2 linked regions of the Drosophila melanogaster genome follow. The protein of the gene in region 2 purifies or fractionates together with the protein of the main gene of each other region. This does not show direct contact. Each region holds a gene or a part of one and is shown on either strand. Other genes may lie near its edges.

Region 1 (7,851 bases), on a different chromosome or scaffold from region 2:
CCCACGCCGGCCACGCCCCCCGCTGCTGAAGCGCCAGCGGAGCCGTTGCCTCCTCCTCCTAATGCCGCTGGCATCGCTGCACTGGAGCAACTCTTGGGCGATCTGGCCCGTTGATCCACCAAACCCGATCCGAGAGATTGATTTGTGCTTATGGCGGATGCGGATGCCGATGCGGCGGAGGCGGATGATGGCGAGGAGGAACTGCAGGGCGACGTGGCGATCGGCACTGCCGTCGATGGTGGATGAGGTGGAGCACTGCCCTCCGGCAGATTGACCGCCTGTCCGTGAATCTGATTGTGCGGCGATAGGTGCGGGAACTCGTCGAACTTAAAGTTGAGCAGCCACGAGAGGTTCTTATCCTCGAAGTCCGCCTCGGTGGCTTCATTGGCCCCACTAACCGAACCGGATGAGGTGCGTCGGCCCGCCGACTGTATCCGCTGCTTCTGCGGCACCAGAAAATGTTGATTCTGATGTGGGTTCTGACCAGGAATGACATTCTGTTGTGTTGACTGCTGCGTATGATTGGATGCATTTTGAGCTGATGATGATGTTGGTGGTGGCGGCGGCAAAGTGGCATTCAATTGCCCCAGTTCCGCCTGCAGGCCGGAGTTATAACGATGATCCAGCTCCAGCAGCTCGCCACCGGTCCAACCACCATTGTCATCCAATGGAGCACTCGATGGTGGACAGTGCGAATAGGCGACGGCGGGCACCAGAAGACTGCTCTCATAGGAAAAGAGATCGTTGATGAAGGACGTCGAGGATTGGGCGGGTGCAGCGTTGGTTGGCGGATTACTAGGTGGCTGTTCCAGCTGCAGGTGGAAGTGCAGGTCCCCGGCATCGTAGTCCAAGTGTCGCTTCTTCCAGGGATTTGCCCCGATGGGCTCGTAGTCGTGGCCCAAAGCCAAATCCTCCTGATCGTCGAACTTGCGCTTAAGAAAGTTGTAATCACCGGGAAGATTAGTGTTCGTATCATTTTGATTGGTGGTACTGCTATTGTTGTTGTTGTTGCTGCTGGGATTCGATGTTGGGCTGGATGCACTGCCCGTTCCATTGACGGGCATGTTGACAATCATGATGTCCCGGCTGTCTCGATTTCAATCACGTTAGCCAAGCCAAAACACACAACTCACACTTGGCGAAAAAGAGCAAGTAACACGAAAAAAAAATTGACCTGCTTCGTCTGGGGGACGGACGAAGGATATTTCTTTCTTTATTTCTCAATCTTTAGTTTAGTCAAGAGCGGAAATTGGGAATTAGTCGGTCCGCACTGGCTAACTGGCTAACCGTCTCGCGCTGCGACTGGCCACGGAATGCGATGGGCCGCCAGGAGTCCAGACCAACTTGGCTGTTGGGCTGAGCTGCGCCTGCGCCCTCCTGCCACTCATCCACATTCACATCCACCACCCCGGACACCCAGTCATGCACATAAGCGGTACGTCTGCAGTCGATGGAAAGAGGAGCCGTACCTGTGATGGCGCAGGTACAATAAAATAATGCAGACACTTCACTGTATTATATTTGACATATTCGTTGATATATGTTTCAACCATATCACCTGCTTATAAATATATATTTATAATTTATATATAAATATGAAAAATATCAAAGCAAAGAAAGCTGTCATAGCTTCTAAATAATCAGTCGTGTACGCTGTACCAAGCTGAGTTTAAAAAGCAATCAAGTACCTCTAGGTACAACCACCCAGGTCTTGGCATCGCTGAGCCCAGGTCATGTGCCGCTGGTTCTGCTTGGTCGCTCGATTTGGCCATAATCGAACATGTGCGCCAAGCTGTCCGTTAGCCAATTTCGCGCTGACATGGGGCGGGGTGCGGTAGATAGGTTCTGGATCCAGGGTGCAGGGTGCAGCCATTGAAGCGTCTAATCGACGCTTTCATACACCATGCGTACCCAATGTCCTTCATACAAAGTGAGCAACCCACACAGGTGATGCGCCGGATAGTTTAAGGGACTACGGCTCCATCTGTCCAACCCGCTCGAAAAAAAAGCAAAAGTATCTCCCCTTTTACCCGTTTACCAAAAAATATGGACATTAGCAATTCGGGTTCTTGTTGATTCGTTTATTTATTTCCATTGATCACTGGTTGAATGAGTGTGTGAATGAGTGTGTGAATGAATGGGCGATTGCTTTCATGTTGGGGGGCTAAATGCATTTGCTTACAATATGATTTAAATCCTACTCAGTACAATTTTGTTTGACCAAATGATGCGATTAGTTTTATCCGTTTCTTCGTTCTCGGTAATTTAGGCTAATATTATTGAACATATATATATTTTTTATTTTCTTTTGGTTGTTTCTCGAGCTTTAGTTCAACTAGATCGATCGGCACCCTTGAATCTGACTTGACGTCTAAACATTTATGTTTTGTTCGTCACAGGACAATCTTTTGATTTACCTGTGAACTGCAAATGTGATAAGTTTTTAAGCATATTCTAGCTCCTTTGTATAGTTTCATTTGCCACTTTAATGGCCGCAAGTATGCTTTTCAATAATATGTGAAGAAGCGTCTCCAGCATCTCCAACATCTCTTTCTTCTCGATTTAAATAAATGTTGCTTATTCTTCTGACTGCTTGTAGTATTTTGAATATTTGAATTTTCTCCATTGTCGCCCGTTCTTTTACGTGTTGGTTAAGTTAAAGCTTAGGAAATGTTTGTTTTTTCTCAGCTGCAAAAATGTGTAAGGCAGCCGCTTTCCCTTTTGTTTTTCGTGTAGTCCATCTTCTTCACCGCACTCTGTTGCTTTCTCTTTCTTTGTTGTTTTGTAATCTCGCTCGATTTCGTGTAATTGGTTGTTAACTTCTTTTTATCGACGCATGTTTCAGTCTTACTACTGCCCCATTTCTAAACCTTAGTCCAAACCGTCATCGACGAAGTCGGCGGAGTCCTTTTTAGGCTTAGGCTCGCTCGGCTTTCCAGCCTTTTCACCCGCTTGGCCAAAGGCAGCACCCACATCTCCACCGGGCACAATCTTCTTGATAAGGTTGTATATCTTCGGGTTCGACGCGTACTTTGTGATGTTACCCGGATTTGACAAAATGTCCTACGAAAGTTAATAAATAACAACGATATGATTACTGCATTTGTATTAGAAATAGAAAAGTAGTATTCACGAACCTGAATGGCGGCTGACACCTCGGGATCTGACATGGCGCCCAGTATATCAGACATATTTCCGTTACCAGGATTCCCACCGGAAAATTCTCCAGATGATCCACCAGAGCTGGCATTGTGCTTTTCCTGCTCCTTACGTGCGCGCCTCTGATCCCGCTGGCGTTCCTTGATCTTACGCTCTGCCTGGCGACGCTCCTGCTTCAAGCGATGCTGCTCGATTTTCTTGGCATTCGGAGTGACCTCCTTTAGCCACTCGTCTGTCTCCTCGTCAAAGTCCAGCTTGCATGCTTGGCGCAAATCATGGGCAGCCAGCTCAAAATCTCCGAGGAGGCGACGGGCGCGTCCCCTGAACTTGTAGCCAGCCGCCAAATCCGAGTTGAGTTCCAGCGCCACGTCGCAGTCCCGAATGCAGGCATTCGGCTTCTTCAGCTTGAGGAAGGCCTGACCACGCTTAGCGTGGAAAAGGGCATTACCCGGGCTCAGTTCAATGGCCTTGGTGTACAAGGCGATGGCCTCGTCGAACTTCTGCTGGCCGTAAGCGGAGGCCGCCTGGGCGCGCAGCTCGCTCGCCTGCTCCACCTCCTCTTCGGTGGCCTTCTTGCTGTAGTTGCCCATGGGTTGGGCGGGGTCGCTGTCCGCCTCGATCACACCTGAAGGCGTCGGAAGTAATACGGATAGAAGATACATAGTTTTAATTGGCGTATTACATATATTAATACTGCAGGATTCGAATTTGGGTAAACGCTAAGTTTGCAGTGTCGAAAGGATATAAGATAAAGCAACTGCCAGCACTGCGACAGCAACGCATCAAAGTCCAGGGTTGTGACCCCCAATGACCACGTGACTCGGCAAAATTTGCACACTCACCCTCCATGTCCAGCTCCACGTCCGACTCAGGATCGGAGAGGGACTTTTCGTCCTCGCTATCCTCGGGGGCATTGGCCGGCTCGTTGGCCTTGGCACCAGCAACACCGCCGAATGGGCACTTGCTGGAAGAACAAGCCGCGGGATGAGCAAATCATACAATCGTGTTGTTTTGAAAATTGGTCAAATAGTTCGGTTAACTTACCCTCCGGCGCTGCCACCGTTGAATTGGCCAGGCGGCACCGTGCCACCAAACTTCTCCACGAAATCTTTGACGAACTGCAGCTGCGGCATGTTCAAGAAGGTGGGATTCTCAAGCGCAAAGTCGATGAAGTACTTCAGCTTCTTCAGATCCCCGGTTTGCATTGTGAAAGCCATTTCTGAATTCCGTTTTGTCTCGATGTTTTCAGATCTGATATATTAATATATTAATATTATTAATAAGCAATATTTGCTTAGCTTTACGTCCACTTTTGCTCTGCCCTATCGATTGGTATGCATAAATACCATGAAAAAGTACTGAGAATTAATCGACGGTATTTATCGCTTCGCTCTTGTATTTTTCAGTATTTTGTGCGTACGATAGTGCTGGAAAATGTGACAACTTTTAAAAAGATAACAGCCATTTTCCGCCACATACCCCAAAACTAAATACATATATATTCACATAGGATCGAGAATGTAATGAGCCACAATTAAGTCCATAACTATTGCTGAAGAAGTTTATGTCTGCCCCCATTGACATTAAAACAGTTTTCTGTTAATCATTTTAGTATTTTTTTATTTTCAATGTTTCGTCATGTTTTTTGTTTGCTTTTGTCTTTTGTTTTCTTGATGTTTTTTTTTTAGCTTTTTTCATTTTGTTTTGGAATTAATTTATTAATTAATTTTTATGTTTACTTATTGATTTAGTATCTTCTTCGCGCTTATCTCTGTCGTCGCCGCCTATTTCGTGTTTGCATTGTTTTTTTTTCGGCTTTCTTCGCCTTTTCTTGTGTTTGGTGTGTGTCTGGTTGAAGGGGTTAAGGGTCAGAAAATGGTGAAAACTGGTGGTGATGTTCGGGTATCGGAAGGGAGTGGGTGGTGTCGATGGCCTATTCTGAGTGCCCTTCTCTCCGTGCTCGCACGCATACAAATATTTTTCATATCCGTTCACTTTAAATAATTTTTTAGCATAACTATTAAATAATTTGTTTATATATAATACATACATATATGTATATATGCACACATATATGTATATTCAGTTTGTTTTTCGTAATTCGTTCAATTTAAACTTTTTAATTATTATCGTAATTATTTTTTAATAAAATACTCAACAAATAATTTAATGGGCTTTGTTTTTCTCGTCTGCTCAACTGTCTCATCGTTTTTTTCTGCTGCTGTTTTTATTTTTATTTTCGTTTTTTTTTCTTTTTAAGTATTTATATTTTGATTCGTTTAGTACTATTTAAACACTTAGTAGGTATTAATTTGTTTAGCTTTATACGCTTGCGTGTGTGTTCTTGAGTGTGACAACTTTCTCTATGAAAAACTCAATAAAATCGAAGAATTAAAGACAAATAAATTAAAACATCTCGTGGTTTTTTTTATCAAACATTTCGCTTGTTTATTTTGTTTCTCTTTTTGTTGTTTCTGTTTCTTGGTTGTTGTTGGTTTCGCTGTGGATCAAACCGAAACCGTTAAGTGATAATAAAAAATAATGATAATGGTAATCAAAATAATAATAATAGTTTCCTTTTAAATATGTATAATTTATAATTTAAAGATGTGCATTTTACATAATTATATAATAGATAGATTCGCTCTCATTCTCTATGCATCTCCTTTCATTATCTTCACATTCCTTGCTTTCCTTTATCTTTTATCAAATTAAATTAACACACACTCGCATCCAATCGTTATCGACAATCGATGACATCACATCGATATACACACACATTTAGATATCGACCATTATGGGCTAATTCTAACGGTTACATTAAACGGAAAAAAAAATCGGAATCATTATCCTCATATCATTATTCTTTATAGAGATGCAAAAAAAAAATTTAATCTTACAAACTGATTGGCTAAAATTAAAGGAAAGTACGTACATATACAAATTTGCATACAAATCTGAAATGGTTCTTCTGGTTTTTTATGTTTTTTTGCTGGTTTTCTTCATTAATTTAAACTTTAATTAGGCATAAATTATTTATATAAATATTTACAATGCTCTTTGCTATTTTTAGGGAGTTCTTGCCGCTGCTTTATTACTCTTGTTCTGCTTGCCGTCCTTATCTGCGTCCATTTTTGTTTCTTTCTATCGCGATATTTTCCATTTTTTATACTTATACTCTAAAAACTAATTTCGGGTTACTTTTCATTCATTTTGTTTTGCGTAGACTTAAGAAAAAAATGTTTTTCGCTTTTGGATGAATCTTGCATCTTTCACTCCCCGCTCATACTCTTCTGTTCCTCTTCTGATCTTTCTCTTTAAGGTTTTTTTTGTCTGGCTGTAGGCAGATTTCATATCGGTTTTACATACATATAGATCTATATATTATTGAAACATTTAGCTTGGTAGTTCATGTTTTTTTTTTGCAGGTTTTATATATGTATATATATTTCTATTAATATGCCTTGGATATTAATATTTAATACAATTTACGCATAGTGCATTACAATTATAATTTTAAAATTAAAAAAAAAAAAACATGTATATATATCGATACATATATGTGTAATTTTAATAAAAACTATTACATTAGTTTACTATGTATTTAGAAGTATTTTACTTCAAATAGGTTTATTTTCTGTTGATTTTTCTGATCCGATCTGATCTCATGAATTACGCTTTTTCTCGATTTTTCTTGCATTTCTACTTATTTTCTTTTCTTTGTGGCATATAAAAAAATGGTTTGATTCTATGAATTTTTCAGTTTTTTTTATCTGTGGATTTGTTTGTGGTTCAGATACGACTATATACAAATGTATATATATATGTATATATATATATATATATATATATATATATATATGTGTGTGTGTGTGTGTGTGTGGTGTTAATGTTTATGGTATTTTTATATTTAAATCAATTTTTTTTGGATTTTGATACAAAACAAACAAAAATGACTTTTATATTTCAAATTGAATTAAAATATAATTGGGATGTTTTTTCCGATTAAAAGCGTTAAAAGGAAGAGATAAATATATATATAAATATATTTATAAAGATTTACTAGTATGCTTCAATGTTTATGCAGATATATATATATATATATATATATATATATAAATATAAATTTATACATTTATATAATTTTTATATTTTATATATATTTATATATTTATATCATCATTACTAGTAACTATGCATGGACACAAAGTGAAAATTTACAGTTAACATTATTCGTTTTGTTTCTTTTAAGGCAAAATTAGTCTGCAGTGTCTACCTTGTGTGTATGAGTAAGTGTATTTTTAATGTTTGAACCACAATCACAATCCAGCAGATAATGCAATAATTTGTTATTTCCCATTGCAAATGTCCCCTATTCTCTGCGTCTTTGTAATCCTTTTTTGCGTTTTTTGCTTTGTTTGTTGATGCTTTTGCGACTCGCTGTGAATTTTCTTGGGATGTTGTTATTGCTGACGGCGGCAGTGTGGCAGGCAGCTCCTCGTTCTCTTAAACTCGCTTGTCATCATTCCCTTCATATTTTAGAGCAGCTCTTGCTGCAACAGCAGCTTGTGCTGCTGCTGTTGGAGTTGCGCCTGCTGTTGTAACTGTTGCTGCTGCCAGCGCTTGTATTTCCCCTGATAGGTCGGTGTTCCCCCTCCCCCTGCAGCTGCAGCAGCATTGGCAGCGTTTGCC
Region 2 (7,397 bases):
CCTAAAGCAACGAAATACAAAAAATAAGATTCCATTTTCGACTTACGACTTATGGCAACTTACCTGAAGCAGCTGAAGTTGTATGATGGCAAATTTGCTGACGAATTCGTGCGACTTGTGGGCTGCAGCGAACTTTTGTAGCTGCTCGATGGCCTCCTTGTGCTTGCGATCTTTGGCCAGCTGGGTGCAGCGAATGAGCAGCGCCTCGAATTCCACCTGCGGGTAGGTCTGAGCTAGCTTTTGGCTAAGCTGTTGCACTTGGTCGCCGGCATTAGTGTAAAGTGCTAGCAGACAGTTGTTGAGGGCTATGACCTGCTTCTGGCGCGAGGTGAGCCTAGACTCACAGGCGTCGGCTAGGGCAGCGCGTATCTTCTTCTTGGAATCGAAGACGTTCTGGTCCTTATTGACCACCACCAAGTTGTTGCTTGCCACGGCCACCAGGGCTGCGTCCTTTGGCTTATGACGCAGGCAGTCCGCGTAGATGCTGGACGCCTCCTTGGTCTTGCCCTGCAGTTGGAGGACATAGGCCAGTTGGACGCGAATGACGTCTACCTCTTCAATGATCTCCTCCTCGGAGGCACACTCATCCTCAAGACAGAGCTTCTCGCTGGTGCGCAACTTGCGCTCGGCTTCAGCATACTTCTGCCGATTAGCCTGGATGCACGCGCTGTTGAAGTACTGCTCGTAGGTGTCTTCCGGCACCTCGGGCACCTCCTTGGTCTGATCCACAGCCAAGTTGGCGGCCACGGCGCTGAGATTGGTCCGACGCTCTTCCTCGTACTCGTCACTGGTGTTCTTAATGATGTCGCGATAGGAGTCTAGGCACTCATCGTAGCGCTCCAAGCGGTACAGGACCTGGGTTCGGAGCTCCTTAAGGTTCGGAGGCAGGGGCTGCAGACCCGCATCGTCTATGGTCTTAAGCGCTTGCTGCTGCTTGTTAAGTTGGTACTCGCAGTAGGCCTTCTCAAAGAAAAGCGAGGACAGTCGATTTTTCTCAATAAACTTGTAGGCCTCCTCGAACTTGGAAAGCTGCACCAGGCAGACTACCTTGCAGTGCAGGGCGGTGGGATCGTCGGGCGCTACGCCTAGGACTATGAGAGATCATAGGGAGTCATCTTCTGGATTATAACCTCGGTAATCTGAAAAACTTACTGCGATTCACTGCCTTGACAGCCTTGTCAAACTCCTGGTTATTGCCGAACTTATTCACATCAGCGTAAGCCGCCTTTATGAGCGCCTCCTTGGGATTAGCGTCCTTTGACATCCTGTTTGCTCAGCACGTTAGTGGGTGGTAATATATATTTTATTCACTGACTTAAACTTTCGACTTTCCGTTTAACATGCAAGTTTTTACAGCTGTAGACACATCAGCAATGCGGACCTGCCAGATCGCTTCTGTGTGCAACCAGAGATGCCAGATGGCGGAAACAGTTAAGACATTTAATTTTTTAAACTATTTACATTTAATTAATAACTTATGCATAAATATCTATGAATGGGACATTTTATTATTAGTTATTAAAAACTGAAACGCTAAATGATGTGTACTAAAATCTTAATCCATGAAGTGCATTTCACTGTTTGATTATCAATTTCGTTTCACTATTTGCCATTATGGCACATGTAATTCATTAAATAATTGTTTTTTAATTCTTTGTTAAGTTATAATTTTCTTGTTCATCTATATCCACACACTTCTTTGAGCCGCTGGTATTTTGGGCTCCGCGTATCTGGCCACACTTGCATATTCGCTGGCGACGCCTTTGATCCAAACTCTGCGCCCGGATTATTGGATTATTTGACTTGACTATTGGAAAATGTCCGTTGAGGTGGATTTCGTCGACAAGAAGGAGGTGCACCTCCGCACCCTGAAGCAGTCCGGTCACGTGGGATTCGACAGCTTGCCTGACCAACTGGTCAACAAGAGTGTCCAGAATGGATTCGTCTTCAACGTCATGTGTATAGGTGTGTATATGCGGGTGAACTTTGCGTGTGTGCGTGTGTATGCGGCACAGTGAATCAACCGAAGTTTTGCTTGCATACAAAACAGTGGTGACCAAAGCAATAGCACTGATTTTTTATATTCCATAAAGGAGTCACTTGGAGAAGGTTTCAAACTTTTGTTGCTTCTTAACTCAAAGATGGCTTTGTTTGCACACCAATTAGAAATTGGACATACAGTGGTAGCTCGATGCAGAGAGAATGAAATAAAAACCGAGGTGTGTGCTTTTTATTTGTTAAACTTTAATACGAGTAAAATCAGTAAAATCATATTAGAAATACAATTATTTATTGAAAGCAAAGACTATTGCACAGCACATCTTGAAATAAAGATGCTATTGTTTTGAACACCGCTGTGCTATGTACTCAAGTGTCTCATGTTGGAGTGCATTGCTCAGATAAAGTGAATCACTTAGGTACATAAAAGCGGGTAAACAATTGAAATAACCAGACGCCCAGATACGATTAGTATGCAAAGTGGCCGGCAATCGATTGCCTCCGCCACTTTCTACAATTTCACCCTGACACCAATGCCGCAGTGCTTCTATGGCCAATTGAGCTCACTTAGGCTAAGGTTCCCCAAATCTGGCACAAATCTGACCCGCATTTCGAAATCTTTACGCTCCGCAGGCGAAACCGGACTGGGCAAGTCGACGCTGATGGACACGCTGTTCAACACCAGCTTCGAGTCCACGCCGAGTCCCCACACTTTGCCGAGCGTCAAGTTGAAGGCACACACCTACGAGCTGCAGGAGAGCAATGTGCGACTCAAGCTCACCATCTGCGACACGGTTGGCTACGGCGATCAGATCAACAAGGACGACTCGTTCAAGGCGGTGGTGGACTACATCGACGCACAGTTCGAGAACTATCTGCAGGAGGAGCTGAAGATCAAGCGATCGCTGGTGACATGCCACGACAGCCGCATCCACATCTGCCTCTACTTTATTTGCCCCACTGGGCACGGCCTCAAATCGCTGGACCTGGTGTGCATGAAGAAGCTGGACAGCAAGGTGAACATAATTCCGGTGATTGCCAAGGCGGATACCATTTCCAAGGTTGAGCTACAGCGCTTCAAGGCGAAGATCATTCAGGAGCTAAACGCCAATGGAGTGCACATCTACCAGTTCCCCACCGACGATGAGACGGTGGCCGAGACCAACACCAGCATGAACTCGCACATTCCCTTCGCCGTGGTGGGCAGCACGGAGTTTATTAAGGTGGGCAACAAGCTCATCCGCGCTCGCCAGTACCCCTGGGGCACGGTGCAGGTGGAGAACGAGACGCACTGCGACTTTGTGAAGCTGCGCGAGATGCTCATTCGCACCAACATGGAGGATATGCGCGAAAAGACACACACGCGCCACTACGAGCTGTATCGCCAGAAGAGGCTGGAGCAAATGGGCTTCAGCGATGTGGACAGCGACAACAAGCCCATCTCGTTCCAGCAGACGTTCGAGGCAAAGCGCTCCAACCATTTGGCCGAGCTGCAGTCCAAGGAGGAGGAGGTTCGTCAGATGTTCGTGCAGCGCGTTAAGGAGAAGGAGGCCGAGCTGAAGGAGAGCGAGAAGGACCTGCACGCCAAGTTCGAGAAGCTAAAGCGGGATCACGCCGAGGAGAAGCGCAAGCTGGAAGAGTCGCGCAAGGCGCTCGAGGAGGACTACCTTGACTTCCAGCGGCGCAAGCAGCAGTTGGCCACCGCCCACCACACGCTCACCCTCGGCAAGAGCAAGAAGAAGTAGAATCCGGCGCCGCCGCCTCACAATGTATTGAGAATTCTGTGCGGTTCGCTTATCCCAAAGTAATTATTGCTTTCTCATCTCGTTGTCTTTCATTTGTACTATTAAGTTTACTTCAAATATTAACATATACACAACTACACGCATATGTACGCAGGCATATAATGATTATGTATTTACAACTAACGAATAAATCGAACTTAGTATTTTAACAAAGTAGAAAAGAGCTGTTTGCCGGAAACTTGTATTCAAAAAATTGTAAACTTTTGTCGATATAATGTGTTTTTAAGTGTGTATTGAAGGCACCGCTGGATAAAGACAACAAAATAACATTTTATCTAAGATTATCCTGGTTTCCTTAGAAGTCACTGATTGATATGTATCAATACATATTAAGTTTATATTTTCCTTGAATTTCTTTTAAGCTCCGCTTTTTAAATACAAAAACATGGTAATTTGAATTTCAAGATTGGCGGGCTTTTCGTAGGACGTAAGTGTAGTACGGCCTTATTTTACTTGTCTTGTGCTTGCCACCTGGTCACACTGTTACCCACTCATTCACTGCAGGCTGCAAAAATTATAGAACAAATTAAAAACGCAATAATAGAATCACCGCAGCGAATTCGACGCAATCACGGAGTCCAGTGCTCCGTAACCCAAACGAAAGCAATTAACCGTGTTCAACGTAGAGAATAGTCCATGAAAGTGGGTGTATCCGTTGGCAAAAAGCAAGATACCCCTTTGTGTTTGTTTTTTGTTCGTTATAATTTTGTTTGTCGCTCGGTTTGGATTGCGATTTAATGGTAAGGGAGGGGACTCGCCGCAGGGGTGCTCCCAAGTGATTTTCCATAGCCAGCGCCGCCGAGTGGACGGGAAATGCCAATCGGCATGACGAACATGTCGCCAGCAGCGTCATCACTGGTTTTCCTCGCTCTTCTGCAGACAGGTATGGATAATGCTAATGGTGGCAGTGGGTAGTGGTTAATGGTTAATGGCTGGTGCAGTGTGGATATGGTAGTCCAGAAACGGGGTCATTAATGATTTCCCTCCGACATTGCAGTTACCTGCTACACCGTCATCATCACTGCTCCCGAACAGGCCCTCATCGGATCCACCATCAATGTGTCCGCCCAGCTCTTCGATGGCGACAAACCGGCTGACGGAGGCAGGCCCTACAGGTTCACATGGTCCGACAGTGCTGGCCATCGAAAGGTAACGATTCCACCTCCATTTCCCCAACTGCTCCCCCTGCAGAACGTGTTCAAACAAAGAAAACGGTGACACGACTAATTGCCTGCGAATGCAAACGCCAATAGTGCAAGCAAATCCACCAGCCTAGGGTTCGCATCTACGCCCATCAAACTGGCTCATTAAAATGGTCAGGAGAACTAGTACTAGGTGGTTTGCCTGCCATCAACGCAGCAGAACAGTATTTCATTAATGCAAATATCTCTGATTACAAAATATTTTGAAAGTTCTCGATTTCGGTTAAATTTAAAGTTTTAAGCTCCTGCTAATAGACCATTACAAAAGTTTGTTCTAAATCGATATCACAACTCGTAATTGCTAAACAAGAATTACTCTTTAGATCAAAAGACGTAACTGTTTTTATTCAAAATGCATTTTCAAGAAAAAATCTTTAGAAACCTTATTTCAAATTCAAACTTAAGATTTTTATATATAAGCTTATTAACTAACTAACATGAGCATATGTAATATTGAACATAATTATACTGATCCGTATCTGTTTCTTTAAATATTATCAAATGAAATTATCAATGTTAATGATTCTTATTCCATAGAAGTCATAAATATTTTATTATTTACGATGACTAAAAACACATTTTAAACACCCTAAGCTAGAGCTTACATATACAAACAGATGCGAATACCAGTTCTAATCTCAGCCCTGTGCCATCAATTGAAATGGCGTCATTTGAATGGTAATTTTGCACAATTACTATTAAGCGACAGCTTTTCCGATTGTGCCTGGTACGTGGCCATATCAGTGCCAAACGGTGGCTGCTATTGTGAACGAATTTGCATGCAGAGTGGCTTAAAAGTGATACCAAATAACACTAAACACTTCTCTTTGTGCCCACAGGTGATTGAAACGAACAGCGTTAGCAGCAATTGGTCTGTGGTCTTCACGCAAGAACAACCGGCGACGCATGTCATCAAGGTGGAAGTGGAGAAGTTCGTCACATTTTTTTGGGTGACGGAGGCTAAGGCCTCGAGGGGAATCAAGCTGGACAGCTTGCTCGGCGGCAGCCTGGAGCTGATTCAGAACAATGTGATGCGACCCCATGAGTTTGTGTCCACCCAGGAGGCGGTGAATCACAGCGTATCACTTTCCGATGCGGACCTACTTTTTCTGCAGTCGAAGGGTTATCGCATTCTGACGTATTGGTTTCAGAACTGCACATATCTCGGCATGTCCAGTGCGTTGGACTATGTGGCCACATATCCGAAAGCTGAGCAATATTATGACATGGAGGCGTTAGTGGTGGCTTCACTGGAACTTCCGCCGGAGCCGACGCCCTCAACTACGACGACCACCACCACAACAACCACAACTACCACTACCACCACCACTACAACTCCAGCAACAACAACCACTTCAACAACACCTGCCACAACGACCACTCCAAAAACCACAACATCATCCACAAGTACAACGACCACAACGACTCCAAAGCCGCCGGCACGATCCAAACGTGACTTAATCCAGGCCATGCATGCCAACGCTGCTCTTCTAGGCTTGAACTTAACCAGTGCGCTAAACCAGCAAAAGTCATCCGCTGGGAATGTGTCCGTGGCTTTGGTCAATCCGCTGGGAGTGCGAAGGGTGTCCAAGCTCACACTGGTGCCCGGTCTGCAGCCGCCTTTCGATTGCGTGAGCAAAAAGTTCGTCGCCCAGGACCCCAAGCAGATATACGGCTACTACCAGCATCGCGTTGTATCCAAGGGTACGATTATTTAATGATTTTTATGAGCGATTCTCCTCATATTTAAAACTGAAAACCCTTTAGATCCTATAACCGGTTTCGGCACCACGGGCAAGAATTGGTTGCAACACTGGGAGGTGCTTAAACTCAATGTCAACTGCAAAGGATCGCCGCCGTTTGAGCTTTGCACTCGAGTCTTCACTGGTGAGTGGCATTGCAATAGCTCAAGGCTACGTGTTATAATGACTGTCATGTTTCCATGTAGCTCCTTACAACTCCACGGGCAATGAGACCTGCGATCAGTATGAGCCGATAGAGACGTGCTCGTATGAGTATATGCGTTACTTCAGTGAAAGCAAGACCATTCTGTTCTTCATACGCAACGAGGTCTCCCAAACACTTAATCAGGTCACCATAAACATGTATGAAGGTGGGTAAATCGAAGTTCGTTTAAAATTAACTACTTACAATTGATTGTTAATTTTTCTATGCAGCTCAGCGTCAATCTCAGCTTTCGGTTGTAGTTGTGCCCGTAAGCTGCACTTTGGTGGCGGTGATTCTTGTTGTTTTCGGCGTGGCCTACTATATTCAACGGGGAAATCGGTAAGCACTGACGAATTACCAATGGAAACGCTTTCTACCAATTGTTTCGCTTTGCAGCTTCAATGTTGAAGTGGCCGATTTCAACTTCGGCGACACACAATCGGTG

The links.
Region 1: the proteins of Septin2 (region 2) and HIP-R purify together in Drosophila melanogaster (affinity purification with mass spectrometry, with the first as the bait; one large-scale study listed by BioGRID). This does not show direct contact.

The regions. Positions count from the first base shown.
Region 1 is NC_004354.4:3,786,689-3,794,539, reverse strand, and holds HIP-R (Hsc/Hsp70-interacting protein related), read right to left. Parts: upstream 4,572-7,851; 5' UTR 4,464-4,571; exon of another isoform or gene 4,411-4,463; 5' UTR 4,377-4,410; coding exon 4,204-4,376; intron 4,124-4,203; coding exon 4,002-4,123; intron 3,785-4,001; coding exon 3,138-3,784; intron 3,064-3,137; coding exon 2,872-3,063; 3' UTR 2,063-2,871; downstream 1-2,062. UniProt on the Drosophila melanogaster protein: One HIP oligomer binds the ATPase domains of at least two Hsc70 molecules dependent on activation of the Hsc70 ATPase by Hsp40. Stabilizes the ADP state of Hsc70 that has a high affinity for substrate protein.
Region 2 is NT_033777.3:20,582,692-20,590,088, reverse strand, and holds Septin2 (septin 2), read left to right. Parts: upstream 1-1,732; 5' UTR 1,733-1,817; coding exon 1,818-1,965; exon of another isoform or gene 1,966-2,086; intron 2,087-2,093; exon of another isoform or gene 2,094-2,219; intron 2,220-2,631; coding exon 2,632-3,743; 3' UTR 3,744-3,960; downstream 3,961-7,397. Other genes in the region: Srp72 (signal recognition particle 72), read right to left, coding at 1-1, 64-1,091, 1,153-1,264; CG16953 (uncharacterized protein), read left to right, coding at 4,617-4,686, 4,801-4,952, 5,845-6,709, 6,773-6,892, 6,954-7,118, 7,183-7,291, 7,349-7,397. UniProt on the Drosophila melanogaster protein: Involved in cytokinesis.